Mytilus edulis: one gene and its partner. The main gene of each other region encodes a partner of the protein of the gene in region 2 in a complex. Links are inferred from orthologs where the notes say so. Each region holds a gene or a part of one and is shown on either strand. Other genes may lie near its edges.

Region 1 (7,707 bases), on a different chromosome or scaffold from region 2:
ACCAATTGTCACCAAGATACAGCTCCTACCCACATCTGTAAATGGTGAAGATAAAATAGCAATAAAATAATTTAATATTGATGCAAAATTTCAATAGTCTATCATGCATGTCATATGATCATAAGGACTTCTTTTTAAAATCAATATTTTTTTGTAAGGTTAAAAGTGTATTCGTCATGTTCACTATTACATTGTTTCCAATGGATACATATATTGAGTATTTTCTAGTAAAAATGGCACCTCTTTCACGTATGGCTCTAGTTTTGTGACATTAATTCCAAAGAAAAAGCTCCAAATATACCATCTATATCAGGAAATTTGATTTTGTGTCTAATTTTGTAGTCCTCTAAATATATGTTATTTGGTCTCTTGTCATGAAGAGTTGTCTCATTGGCAACTATATGCATCATGTGCATACCACATCTTCTTTTTAAAAATAATGTCACTTTTTTAATATTGGTAAAATTATATTTTGTAGATACATTTATCATGTTTATATACATGTATATAAATATCTACATTTTGTATAATCTCTTGCTAGATATTTAGGCTACCATTGACTATTTACAGCTTGTTTAGTATTCTTAAACTTACCCTGGCCTGCACCTGCAAGAAAATGAAATAATGAATTTATATTTACGTGTACAAAAAGTAGTTAAAGTTATATATATTGTCACATAAAACAGATGCCAAATTAAGTATCAAATCTGGCATTTAAGGGGTTTTAAATAAAGTATTCATATTCAATTACCATAATCGGATCTGTATAGTACATGTATACAGATGTTAATGCTGGGAGAGACTTCTGAGAAGGGGGTGCAAATTATATATTCATGATACATGTATATGCATACATTGATTTTAACGATTCAATGAGTACCAACTAATAATAAATGCAATAAACATGATAAACATAGATCATTCTTTGTTTTAGCACTATTTTATCAACATAAATATTACAATTTATTCATTTATTGTGTATAAAAGATTATTCGTAATTTATCCCTAACCCATACAAGGGGGTCTCATTGGTAGGGTATGATCTCCAATCCCGCTCAGGTCCGTAGCCAGGACTCGACAATAACGCTTGTCCGATTGTCCGGTACCAGGGAAAAAAAAGGTCGGACAAGTAAAAGCTATATCAAGCTTGTCCGATGGGACAAGTAAAATTATTCTGCAGAAAATAAATTTGATGAACAAAGTAATTATAAACAATAAAACAAGAAGAGAAGAGAAAAATAAAGTTTTAATTTGACATGTTTACTTGCAATCAAATATTTAAAACTGGTTCTTTGTCAGGTACTTTTTAACAGGTAAAAGACATACTATTCTCGTAAACCAGTCTTACTGATCCGAATCAGTTGCAGATAACGTAACTTTTTTTTTACAAGACAGTTGTCACCAGCTCCGAAACGATTCGGCTCCAAGTTTTATTGACAGTTTGGCACCCTACGAGACATATTTAATAGACATGATTAATAGACAGTTTGGTAACACAGACATATCGGGACCAAGACAAATCTGTACATCGTTTTTCTACCTTATTCTGTTGCTTTAAAATAAATTATACCGGTATTTTTTTTTTTAAATTCACTAAATCATATTTGATCCTATGTAGTAAAAAACAATACTTGCAATACGGTGACCTATAGTTAATTTCTTGCAGAGAGTTGTCTCATTGGCAATGATAACTCATCTTCATTTTTACAGTCGCAAATGCAGTTTTACTGGCGACGCGTAGCGGAGACAGTAAAACGATATTTGCGTCCGTCAAATCAAAATTGACGGTGGCAACTCTTCAACTACAGTACTGTTATTCCGATTCTAATGCATTACAAAAAGAAAAAATGCGATAAAACTTGAAAAAATGTCTAAATTTGTCAAATAAAAAAAAATACACGAAATTTCATGAATGATTTTGGCACAAAGACGTCATGGCTAAACCTGACGTCATTCAAATGAAAACTTACAAACTGGAGGTTATTATTTTACCCGTACGCTTCAAATTCGGATAAAATTACATTAAAACGGCGAATTCGAGGTAGCTGTTGTTTTATTTTCGATTATATAGTAGTAATCGAACATTTGTTGATTTATTAATTCAAAATGGCGGGCCCCTCCTTAGTTACGCCTGGTCAACTGTGGATTTGACGGCAACTTTTAGCCAATGAAAAAAATTGTTACATCCAAATTGCATTAGAATACAAAAAAGGTTATTCTTAAGATTTTTTTGGAACAAGTTACAATTTCATTCGGACAAGTAAGTTTTGGTATGTACTTGTCCTACTGGACAAGTTGAAAAAAAAGTTATTGTAGAGGCCTGGTAGCCAGGAATTTCCAAGGGGGGGGGGAGGGGGGGTATTTGGACTCACAAATCACAAACTCGACTTTAACAGTCACAATTCGAACAGAAAGTTGACTTTAACAGTGCTTATTTGTTTTCAAGTCGTCCGAACCCCCCGGCTACGTGTATGCCGCTTATTGTTTAATAAAAATTCTGTATCCGCTCGCGATCCTCATTACCATAATAGTGCATTTTATTTCCGTGTCCCGCTAGTCCCAATAATTATGTCGTCGGGGTCTGGCAAGGCTATTTTAATTTTTCTCTGGGACGTCGTAGGGAGGCGTCCCAGAAAAAAAATTAAAATAGCCTTGCCAGACGTCATAACTATTTGGACTGGTGTCCCGCCAGACATTGTTTCCCGTTTTCATGCTTAATTATTTCACGTGTCACGCTTTAAAAAATTCTGCCAATCCTGCATCACGCATAACCCCAATGGTAGGTACACAAACAATGTATTGATATAACTGCTGACTGGCATGATATAATTATTTTCATAACTTTGTTTGGACTCAGATCACTGGTCAAGTAACAGAGAAAGCTGTGACATTTGATTAATGCTTCTGTACATATTGTGGAATGACAACATAAATTACCTAGTGGTGTGACTCGAATTTCTGTCATTTTCAAATAGTTATCTTTATGTTATGAATTTGGGAGATAGTTCTGCTTTTTTGAGCTGAAGCATGATACGTCCGGAATACTTTAACCGTATTCGCTCTAAAATTAGTCAGAACCAAGTTATGTTCTAGAAAGATTGTACTTTTATAGAATCATAAAAGATACGTGAATAAATTTGTAATTTTAAACAATATAAAACAACAACGTTCTCATGTCTGAAAAATTATACGACGGAAATGTAAAACAAGAAATTAACACAATATGAAGCAAGCAAAACATAGAACAAAACTCAAACAAATTTAATGCTCTTTTTGTATGTGAATGTCATTTTGTTTTAAAAGGGTTGGTTGTTACAGGTTGCTATTTTAAATCTAATCCTGTAAATAGTTATACCATAAAATACTCTCAAAAGAAACAAACCTGCCAATTCTTATTTACTTTATCATCGCAACAACGTTTTAACTAACGTTTTTTTTACCGTGGCTAATCAAGATTCTCTTGCTTTGTTTACAGAGACAACAAAATATTATTTCCAACAAAATGGCATCGCATGACAGTTTTGATATCGAACGACTTTATAAGTTGTTCCATAGCTGTATAAAAGATGACGACACGATTGATATGGACGAATATGTGAATGCATACGAAGAATTATCAAAGTAAATTATTTAAATGGTCAAGGCTATATTTTTACAGAAACTTTCGACTCAATTTCAAGTCCAATAATTGACATGTAAATAGATTATATGTGGAATCCGGGTCCGTTCGCCCTGATGCATGTTCGCCCTAATACCTGCTGTGTCTGTTCGCCCTTATTTTTTTTTTTATTTTTTTTATATATATACATTTGTCTTTTTGCAGAATGTTTAATATCATGAATATGAGGCAGGCATTACCTTAGTCCAAATAATTATGACGTCTTGAAAGGCTATTATAATTTTCGCCTTACTTCGAGTCAAAGAAAAAAATTATAATATGGGGACGGAGTCCCCAATAACAGTAGAAAATTCAATAAAAAAAAAATACGGGAAAATTTCCCAAATTTTTCATTGTACTAATGAACTCAAAATCGTTCAATTTTTTTTATGTCATGTTTTGAAATCCCGGACATGCGCAGAAATGTACAATGTACTTTCTTTTTCCGGTCTCGTTTGTATGAAACTTTGAGTAAAATATATATTTATCAGTCTAGTATAAAATAGGAAGGAACGCGCAATACCAATTTCATTTTTAATAATTCCTTGATATGAAAAAACGTTACCTGATGATAGCGTTTCTTTGTTTACATTGCATATGACGTCATAATTTAAATAACGTCACAACTAAAATCCCTAACAACAGAACCAAAATCGGAAACGTTACGGTATTTCCGTTTCTTTTTTTTTTAACAAATATTTAAGTTACAAAAAATAATTCATACAGACTTCGTCCCCATTTACAGGTAATGCCTGCCTCATATTAGTCTTCTGATGTTGGATAAAAGCTCTACAGAGCTTATTTTGTATTGTTATATGTATAACCGACTTTAAATAAATCTTTTATGCTGTCATAATTATTTGGACTAGCATTACCTCTGAAAGGGTACGAAGTCTGTATGAATAGGCTATATAGCTATTTGCCAATTCCCGTAATTGACCCTGTTTTTAGAGATCCCTAATTTGGTTGTCTCCCTTATGACGGACATTATTTTTTATTTACAATGGAGAGCAGACAGAGAAAATTTACCTGTGCGTAATGTGAGTAATCTTTAAGGTTTTTAAATCTTTTAATTACATTTATTTGTTGTTCAGCTAAATACTTTTGACATCAGAAATTATTTTTCGTAATAAATTAGTTAAACCGCCGATACATCACTTTCAATTCATCATGCTTTGCATTGGCAAAAGGTAACGCTTGTCCCGTATGGAACCAGTCTATGTTTGACAAAGGGAAGTAATTTGTTTAAAAAGTGTGTTATAATAGAATCAAATCGGTAATTGGCAAATGGACTATTGAGCGTATGAATTATTTTTTTTTTTTAATTAAGACATATTTTACATGTTACTTTAAAATCTGTTAAAAAAGAAACAGAAATACCTAACGTTATGATTTTGGTTCTGTTGTTCATGTTGTTAGGGATTTTAGTTGTGATGTTATTTTAGTTATGATGTCATTTTCAATGTAAACAAAGAAACGCGATCATCACTCAGGTGATGTTTATTCATATCAAAGACAAAGATCAAATTATTACAAATGAAATTGGTATTGTGTTCCTTGACTTCCTGTATATGTTACTAAATTACTCAAAGTCGCATGACAATGAGGTGTGTAATATATTTGCTATGTAATAATACAATCCAGTTTCTATAACTAATTTATTAACAAGTACATGTTTGATGGTCAGACTACAGAATGACAACATGTGTAGAAGAACTTCAATTGATCTATTTAATTATGTTTATTTAAGAACCTGCAGACATGTGAGAGTTGCTGATCTGTCAATTATAATTACTGTGAGGTGAACATTAAAACAAGGTGTAAAAAGGAATAGGATTTCTACGCAAATGCTAGAAAATTGAAAAGTCTGATTTTTTTTTATCTATTTGGAGTTCATTAGCATGATTAGTATCTTCAATGAAATTTTCGTGAAATTTTCCCTATTTTTTTAAATGAATTTTTTTATTGATTTTTCTACCTTAATAGTATTTGTATAGAGTATATTTAAGTTTGTTGAAATATTAGCCGCTTATTTTTGTTGTTGCATGTGTTTTCATGATTTTCAAGAATTGGCATCATATAAATATCTCAATATAAGTTTATTAAACTTAAGCATGAAAACAGGAAATAAAGTCTGGTAGACATGGTAGAACACAGGGAAATTACATGCACTATTATGGAAATGCAAGGCCGTAACTACCCTTGAGGCAAGTGAGGCAATTGCCTCACTAAAATTTCGACAATGATTATTTTTTTTAATACATATATATATATATATAAATATAATAGTCATTTGTTGTTCTGTCTCAACCTTAATTTCTATAACTTGTCATCATTCCTTTTATTAAACTATTCTTCCTGTATATAATTCAGCATCTCAACGGGTGATGTTTCTCGATTACATTAACCTAGTAACGATAATCATCATGGATCTTTAGTTAAAAACAGGCTCTTGCAGAAAAAGGAAGGTAAAGAAGGAATAATTCTAGTAAACTAGTTTTTTGTGAACAGAGTCTGAATATTGCATATAACTTCATTAGAACAATCAAAACACGATAAGTAGACTGACAAATAAAGTACTGGTCTTCGGAAGGGGGCAGTCCTGTCTGCGTATTCATTTCTCCGTTTCACCAACTTTTGACAAATCTATTCATTTCACGAACTTTAAACTTTCTCTTTACAGATAAATGAAATATAAATAATATGAATCATGAATGCAAGGATTAGTTTTTATCCATGTTTCTTTAACCTTAAAAGTTGAAAGAATATCCCATATTCCAATTTGATATCAATGAGGAATCGAAGAACCTCTAACACAGGATTTTGTCTTTACTTATTCGGGACTACGGAATTTCATTTCTTTATATTCGGGGTTTCGGAATCGGACACCCCCAAACCCTAACCCCTAAATTTATAGATTCTGGAACTAAAATACCACGTATGATGGTGCTCACAGGAAAGCTTAATTCCCTTTTGCAAACAAAACTGTTACTACCGATGCTGCTACCGAATTGCTGATGGAGAAGGAATTGGAAGAAGACATTGATCATTGTGTTGATGATGATGTGCTACCTTTAGAAACACAGACTGCCCTGGAACAGCTGAAAACTTGGAAAAGAGCATGCATGAGTGGCGAGAGATTGTGCGGTCTTGTCATGCTCCATGTTCATCGCCATAAGGATATCAGCAGATCAAATTATGATTCTGAAACGATTTGATTGAACCGTCCATAGAAAAATTTTGAAAACTCTACTGAATCGATGTATGTTCTATGTTCTGGCAGCAGACTCAAATCAGTGATATTTGGATGATTATCGTACATATAAATTTAAAAAAGTTGTTAAAAATTTGGTGTTTGTAAAAGTATTAAAATATGAAAAATTTATATAAAAAGTGTCCAAATTCAAAACATTATCAAACTCTCTAAAAATGCCTAGAATGCAGAATTTTGCACCATTCATTTCATACTCTCAAAAAAAAAATTCGCCTAGCTTCGCTCGGCTCAATTATTTTGCCTCACTAAAATAAGATGCCTAGTTACGGCCTTGAAATGGGTCAAGTAGGATACAGGATTCTGGCAAAACAAAAAGCGGGATCATACCATTTTTCGAGTAGAAAAGTTGGTTTGTATGCACAATGGGGATAATGTTTTTCGGTCTGTGCTTCTATCTTACAGTCCTGTTTCAGGTTCTCTAAAACATTTGGTCAAGGTAGTTTTTGATGAAGTTGTAGTCCAATTAACTTGAAACTTAGTACACATGTTCCCTATGATACATACTATCATCTTTCTATTTGGAAATGATTTATAATGTTTTAGTCAAATCTATGGCCTAATGGAAGTAACTCCTGTTATAATTGAGGAATTTATGTGGTATGATTGCCAGTGAGACAATTATAGTCCAAATGAAACAGAAATGAACAACTATGAGTCACCATATGACCTTCAACAATGACCTTAACCTTTTCAATATAGTCAGCTATTAAGCATGTTAGTTTAGAGCCTAGACATTACAAAATTTTACACAATTCAAGTTCTAAAACCAAAAGTA
Region 2 (7,267 bases):
GGCTTTACCTAATGAACTAATACTTTCTTAACAGATTTTTCCCAGCAGTTGGAGTATTTTTCCTGTAAAGTTCAAGGTTTTATCTTTCAGATTTCACTGTTCGGGGGTGTTGAAATTAGTGGGGGTTATTAGAAATAATGATACTTAAAGAAGTGACTTTTGAGAAGGAAATTGAGGTATGATACTTAAACAAGTGATTTTTATGTCATTATCCTAGATTCAGTACAAGGTCATCACCTGAAATGACCTGGTCATCCTAGACAACACAGATGTTGGTTCTGATAAGTTTAGAAACATAATTAGTCCCTGGAAAATTAGTAATCTATATATATATTTAAATCTACAGTAAAATTAAATCACTTCTTCTAGTGATTATTTTGTACTACTTAAATACATGTAGGTGATTATTAAAGAAAGGCAACTATTACTTCCAACCTTTATGGATATAATGTTACTTGAATCAGTGATTTAGAAAATCACTCATTTAAGTAAGTCCCCTGACTGATGAATTGCCTTTGATAGTCTAGTAATTTTTTTTTTAATTTGATTCTTTTATATATTTCAGAGTTCAGTGTGATGTGACATCCATTTTTACTGAATTTATACACATTAGTGTTTAGGGGCCAGCAGAAGCCCTCATCTGGGGGCAGATGCAGGATTTTCTGGTTGTGTTGACGACACAACGGTGGCCATGAGCTGTTTTCTGCTGGTTACAGGTACCTCAAATGACTGAATAACACTTGAAATTTTAATACTAGCACATATTAGTGACTTTTATAAATTGATTATTAAATAATAGTATATTATCAATGTATTTTATAACTTATAAATGATTAACAGAAAGCAGATACAATGTAAGTTCATAAAAAACTTTTTAAATTAAGTGTGTACATCCAATATGATGAGCACAGAAATCACAATCGCTGACGTGTTCGATGTACACATTAAATTTAAAACGACCTTTATGAACTTATTTGATTTCTGTAAATCATTTTAAAGTTATAAAAAATCGATAATATATTATTATTTAATAATCATACCTGCCAACCTCTGAAACCTTCAAAGAAGGAGATCTCCCTCTAAGCTATGACAGCTGAAGGGGAGATTTTGCACGAATGACATTTCCAAGTGACATATATATACAAATGTATGACCTGTTTATTTATTCTTCTTAAAAACACATATAAGAGTTTATCATGTTTATAGATCTACTTATTTTTTTTTAAATATGGTTAATTCTATATATAGTATGTTAATTTGTTTTTTTCCTTTTCATCATCTTTTCAAATTAGCCTCTCATCAGAACAGCTTTTCAGTCAAGATCTGTACATTTGTATCCAGTGTTTATTCATGGAGCAGACAACAAATGGAAGTTTTTAACAACCTTGACTGGCTATACAGCCCTCGCACGGTCGGCTCAGTGCTCGAAGCATTTGGTGAGCATTAGAATAATTTAGTGCCATCGGTCAGGAACAGGTGGTGGTCGCCATTTTGGAGGTCGCCATCTTGGTTTTATGAGATGCTTTGGTTTGGTATGTTTACTATTTTGATGTTCTTTCTTCACAACGGCGGCTTTCAGGGCCAGTTTGGTCAGCTTGGCAGCCATCTAACCCCGATGATAGAGTACTGGTAGATGAGTCTTGGACGTAGTGCTAAAGATGACAGGAAGCATTATCAGGACCAAAGCCGTTAGGCAGTGAAATGAAGGTCAATCATCTAACACCTAGGATACAGCCCTTGGACATTATTCGGCATAACACTCCCCCATCTACAATGGGTTTTGGAATGCATGTTAACGCGGGAATATGCCAACTTCTACGTTTACTGTCATACCTGTCAACTCACCCGTTTTTTGCGGGTGACACCCGTTATTTTCACCTCTCACCCGGGAGTTTTTCTTTACCCGGCGGGTCCCGGGAATTTCTAACATTACCCGTTTCACCCGGATTTCTGACCGGAATTGTTTCCGGTATTTAGAAGTAATACGACCTTCGGTTTTATCGGTCTTTTTCAATGTAACCAAAAGTCAAAATGTAGGACTGTTTACCTGAGCTACGTAACGATATGAAGAGACAACACAGCTACAAGATGAGTTCAGTGACTATCAGTTGACCCCATTAGATGAACTTCCACTTTGCACTTCCCCTGAAACTGACATTGGTACATTTTGGGGAGAAATGTCCAAGTTGCATGACATTTTTATTAACAAGCCAAGATTTTTTGTTTTGTCAAAACTTGCTAAAACATTACTGGTTTTGCCAAACAGCAATGCAGACAGTGAGAGGGCATTTTCTTTAGTAAAGAAAATAGCTACAGAGTTTAGGGCTGATCTTAATAAGGATACACTGTGTGCTCTTCTTTCTTGTAAAATGAATACACATTTGCATTGCTTTGAACTGAAACCAAGTGCAGTTCTTTTAAAGAATGCCAAGTCTGCTACTATGGAATATAACAATAGTCTGAAATAAACTTGTATACATGTTCTAACTGTTTCATATACATATTGACTATATAAATTATATGTAAACATATTTTTGTTCTTCAATTGAGCCCGCAAAATGTCGTACGCCTTATGACCTGAGATTTTTTTTCTCAATGCAGGTCATGACCTGACTTTTCATTTTCAGAGGTTGACAGGTATGTACTGTACAGCGTTGGATTAGTTTCTGTCATCTAAAGTAGTAGCTCATCAAAGATAGCGGGTAAAGGAGAGCAATGAATTACAGTCTTCACAAATTGATCTGTTTATATTGTGTGCTATGTTTTATCTAGTGCCTTCGAATTTATCTTTAAAAGTTATCTGATATTAGATTTTGACATTATTGTTTACATCGGTAATTTTTACAGATACACAACTTGTAAAAATATACCTCTGACGAGTTGTTAGCTAAGTACAACGGATATAATTGTAACATAGACAATATCAGTTGTAAGAAGTTAATGAAAAATAAAAAGCAATAACCTGGATAACTTGGCTAAATTCGGCAACAGCCCTTTTCTTCAGCAAAGCTGCCATTCGGAAGTGGTGGGAAAATAATAACTATCAACAAAACCGGTAAGAACTTAAATTTCCGTATTTTAAAATTATTTTTTTTTTAAATTTAAAGGCTTTAAAGTGCCTGTGGACTTTTGCAATATTTGTACCACATAACATTGGTTATTCTTTTTGTAAACAAAACTGTTCCTTATCATATTTATAATATATATATATAACCAATACAGTGTCAAAGTGTAGAAATTTCTTACATTAAGTAATTTCTTAGGCTCTTTGGGTTGAGGGTTTGGGTGTGATTATGAAAATTATTGAATACAAGGGTTTCTGCATATAATAAGCAGTTTCAGGCTATCTCGGTTGATAAAAACCATCATACAGGTTGTGTTTGATTAAATGTTATTTCTATTTCGTGAGGTTAAATAACTATGAGTTACAAAATGAATTTATATTAAATTGAACTTCAATTTTCATATTTCTAAGTTATTTGTGAAAAAGGCTGCAAGGCAATTAAAATGTTTCGAACAGAATTGGGAAACACATGAACAGCCTCGGTAAACATCATAATTTATCATGTCTAACTGAAGTTATTGCCCTTTGTCTTGTGATTTTTGGGGAATAGAAAAATTGAAAAACACTAGAGCATGCGATTTACTGAATTATTCAACGCATAAATTACGCACAATTGCCCTGGAGATATTCGAATTGACTTATAAAAGAAAATTTATGTGTCCAAAATCACGTTATTGAATACAAAAAACAAACAAAAAACTTTTTTCCTCCGATATATATACTGCTGAGGTCACGAGACCAAAAATGTAAACTTATGACTTTTAGATTTGAGACAGACTGAACCATGCAGCATAAATACCCCTTCAAAATGAGACCAGAGCTATGACTGCTTTTGATTTAAAAAAAATATCTTGGTGATGGGGACAAAAATGTTATTGATGTGAAAACCGTTTCAATCTATCAATTGCAGTGCTGCGTCAGGCTGAAATTTCTGTCTTTTCTGGTCTTTTGCTTTTTTTTTTGCATTATATTAATACCTGATTTTAAATCCCAGTGCGTAATTCCTTTTAACAAGACGCTTTTTTGGTTTTGTTAGCATTTTTTTATATTTCAGAAATCGCTATAGTACCCGCTAAGAGTTGGTGCACATAGAGCGAGGAGCTCGACTCATGGGCATGCATTGACATTGGAGGTTCAAAGATAAAGAACGAACCCTTTATAGGTTTTCATTACATTAGCATTCCGTTTTGTATATTATTTGTATTTTACATGAAGCTGTATAATTGTTATGAACATATCACAACTTTCAATGAAATTTACTTTGATAATTACGAAGGCAATAACAGATAATAAAGAAAATCATGTATCTAAGACTCAAATGTCAATCAGTACACGTCCAACATCCAATATATTTAGTATAAAGACGTCATTAACAGTCAGAGAAAAGCATGACCTGTCCATTTTGTAAAAAGAGAAAACATTTGACATACACAAACATAGTTATACACAAGACCAAATATTTTAAAGTTTGGATTATTCTAATTATTGCTGTCATTAAAACTGTGTGTACTTAACCTTTAACCTTTTTGTGGTTCTGTTGCTTATTTTTTAATTTTTGTTTTCTAATTATATTTGATTGTTCATTTAATAAATTGTACAAATGTATTTCTACAAAACCTTGTCAATATGATATCAAAAATTAAATATATACTGACATACTAAAGAGGATCTTCAGTTATGGCACCTCCAATCGAAATGTTTGGTAGTAATTTGCCATTTTAGCTACTATGTATGTATAAATAATATTTTCTTTTCTCGTACATAAAACAAATTTACAGTGGAAATTGTCCTTACCCCTTTTATACTTTCAAAAGTGGTTTTTATGTTCTTGCGTGCCTTCGTATAAAGCATGTCGATCATCTTCTTCCCGGTTATGAAAGCATCCCGTCTTTCTTCAGATTATCAAATAAAGTAAACATAGTTTTACCATTAACGTCATTAAAAAAAACAAGAAAAAAAGGAACAATTCCTGCCGTTGACAATAGATCAAGCAGTGGTATATAACCATGTTTGTGCCTTTCAAGTAATTCACGGATACATATGGGGATATCAGCGTTCATATCTGATAAATATCAGGACACGGAAGTGTCATACATTTTACAACTAAATAACTTTTATTAAAACTTTAATAGTGTTTTCTAAACAGAATTGATAATTTATGCACACAGTTTATAGTTAAAAACCTGCGGTTTAGCACAACGAATGCACGAATTTATAAAGTGTAATTTTGTGAATCAACACAATGAACAAAAATATGCTTTGATTTGTCAAAACAATTTAATAATAGTTATAGCTTTTTAAAATACAATTTAGTTTTATTTTATAAGTTAAATTATAACTTCAGTTGCTTGAAATACTATACAAACCTAAATGATAGAAGTTCAACTTTCAATTAACAGTGACATGCAAAGTAAAACATTAAATCAACAGGACCACACGTAGTAAAACTTTAAACAGGCAAACTGAAACCTAAAACCAACAGGAATATGCATAATAAAACCTTAATAAACAGGTGCGCCACGAGCGCATGATATGTCCTTCGTCTTGTGTGTGACCCCCCTTTAAAAAAAAACAACCTTAATAACTCTTAAATACAATTTTGAATTATCACCAAAAAATTATACAGATCTTTAAATAGATAAAGATAACAAACAAGTGTGTAAAGTTTTAAGCAATAACCATAAATCGTTTTTGAGATACGGCGCGACATGTGAAAAAATCATAGTTGTTTCAAATGATTTTTTTCACATGTCGCGCCGTATCTCAAAAACGATTTATGGTTATTGCTTAAAACCTACTCCTTTAACTGTTGAGGGTGGAGAAATATCATAATACACGAGTTACAGTGGTGGAATCTGTTTCTCTAATGATTTTTATGATTTGAGGAAAGTGTATAACGATATATTTCTCCTATCTAAATTTTGATATTTAAAGCGAGAAGCTTGCCGAACTTTCTTAATAATTAAAAGGAGTAGGTCCGGTAAGGGCTGATTTTGGCCTCAAATTTCATGTTCATCTGACGAAAGATTTTGGACATTTTTTAAACACTTAAGTGTCTATTTCAATTGATTTGTTTAGTTTTTGTGAAAGTGTTTTTTAACTGATTTAGTCATTAAAAACGCTCCGATTCAAGCTTAAATATGGAAAATTTAGAAATATGCCAAAAAACGTCACTTTTTAGATGGTTTTTGTCAAAAATGAAAGTGGCCGCATCCGTGTTCATCCTCAACCTTTATATATGTTATGTATTATCATCAAATACAACTTACATTTCAATATTATGAATGAACACGAATGCGGCCACTTTCATTTCAGTCAGACGGAAACCGTCTAAAATTTAACTAAAATGCTAAAATTGTGTAGATTTCAGTAATTTAGCATGACTAAATGATGCTAGTACCCGATATGTGTACATTGTATTGTCAAAAACAGCCTATATTTATGTAGCAGAAGCATTCTACTTTCCATTAAATAGCTAAAAGATAACAATTTCATAATTTTGTAAAACTGCTATATTTTGGGGCCAAAAAGGGGTCTTACTGAACCTACTCCTTTAACTGTTGAGGGTGGAGAAATATCATAATACACGAGTTACAGTGGTGGAATCTGTTTCTCTAATGATTTTTATGATTTGAGGAAAGTTGTGTACTTTTGGTGTGACGTCATCAGGCATGTTCGCCTTTTTCATGACGTCACAATAAACAAATTTAGAAGAAAACAAGAAAATTTAACGTCATAATTAAATTTCAACCAATCATTTGCCGTGAACAGATTTTTCACCAGTGAGGAAAAATATGTTTCTCACACCGGTCAGAAATGTGAAAATAGCACAAAAATTAGAGAAAAGTGGTTCTAATAAACTTTATTTTGATTCGACATAAGTACAAATAAGCAGCACAAGCTCTAAGGAGCTTTTGATCGAATATAAAAACATATAAATAACATAAAAACAGTCCATTTTGACTTATAAAAAAACCTGTAATACAAAGTTGAAATCTCACATACTTACATAGCATATCTCAAGTTACAGTGCGACATGTGGACGTCGGACAGACAGACAGACGAACAAACAGAATACGTCCCGTAATTTTGACGGGCGTATAAAAACAAAAAGGACATGCATTGTATTAAAAACATACACCAACAGAAACATGATTAGTAAAACTTTCACTGAACCAACAAGGACACGCATAGTAAAACCTT

What was found. Proteins that work in one complex are often made in the same cells at the same time.
Region 1: the proteins of integrator complex subunit 4-like (region 2) and integrator complex subunit 11-like are in contact, whole or in part, in a cryo-EM structure (PDB 7SN8), measured with the Drosophila melanogaster proteins. The link is inferred for Mytilus edulis from reciprocal best matches to the Drosophila melanogaster genes IntS4 and IntS11. Residues at the interface, in NP_572488.1 of Drosophila melanogaster: Arg226, Ser227, Gly228, Gln233, Lys256, Phe259, Tyr260, Asp262, Ser263, Gln264, Lys299, Asp300, Asp301, Cys349, Leu351, Lys380, Lys381, Ile437, Glu441, Glu443, Phe444, Leu445, Glu446, Arg448, Asp471, Phe472, Asp475, Asn478, Glu480, Ile481; in NP_651721.1 of Drosophila melanogaster: Thr182, Pro183, Arg185, Gly188, Ala189, Trp191, Ile192, Asp193, Lys194, Arg196, Ile210, Arg211, Asp212, Ser213, Lys214, Arg215, Arg258, Asn287, Gln288, Lys289, Lys292, Thr293, Met299, Gln400, Asn404, Asn469, Ala470, Pro472, Pro473, Pro475.

What each region holds. Positions count from the first base shown.
Region 1 is NC_092356.1:73,124,364-73,132,070, forward strand, and holds the start of integrator complex subunit 11-like, read right to left. Parts: upstream 3,039-7,707; 5' UTR 2,966-3,038; coding exon 2,938-2,965; intron 607-2,937; coding exon 595-606; intron 36-594; coding exon 1-35. Other genes in the region: ceramide-1-phosphate transfer protein-like, read left to right, coding at 3,503-3,621. UniProt on the Drosophila melanogaster protein: RNA endonuclease component of the integrator complex, a multiprotein complex that terminates RNA polymerase II (Pol II) transcription in the promoter-proximal region of genes.
Region 2 is NC_092346.1:94,729,749-94,737,015, forward strand, and holds the start of integrator complex subunit 4-like, read right to left. Parts: upstream 3,085-7,267; 5' UTR 3,017-3,084; coding exon 2,963-3,016; intron 1-2,962. UniProt on the Drosophila melanogaster protein: Component of the integrator complex, a multiprotein complex that terminates RNA polymerase II (Pol II) transcription in the promoter-proximal region of genes.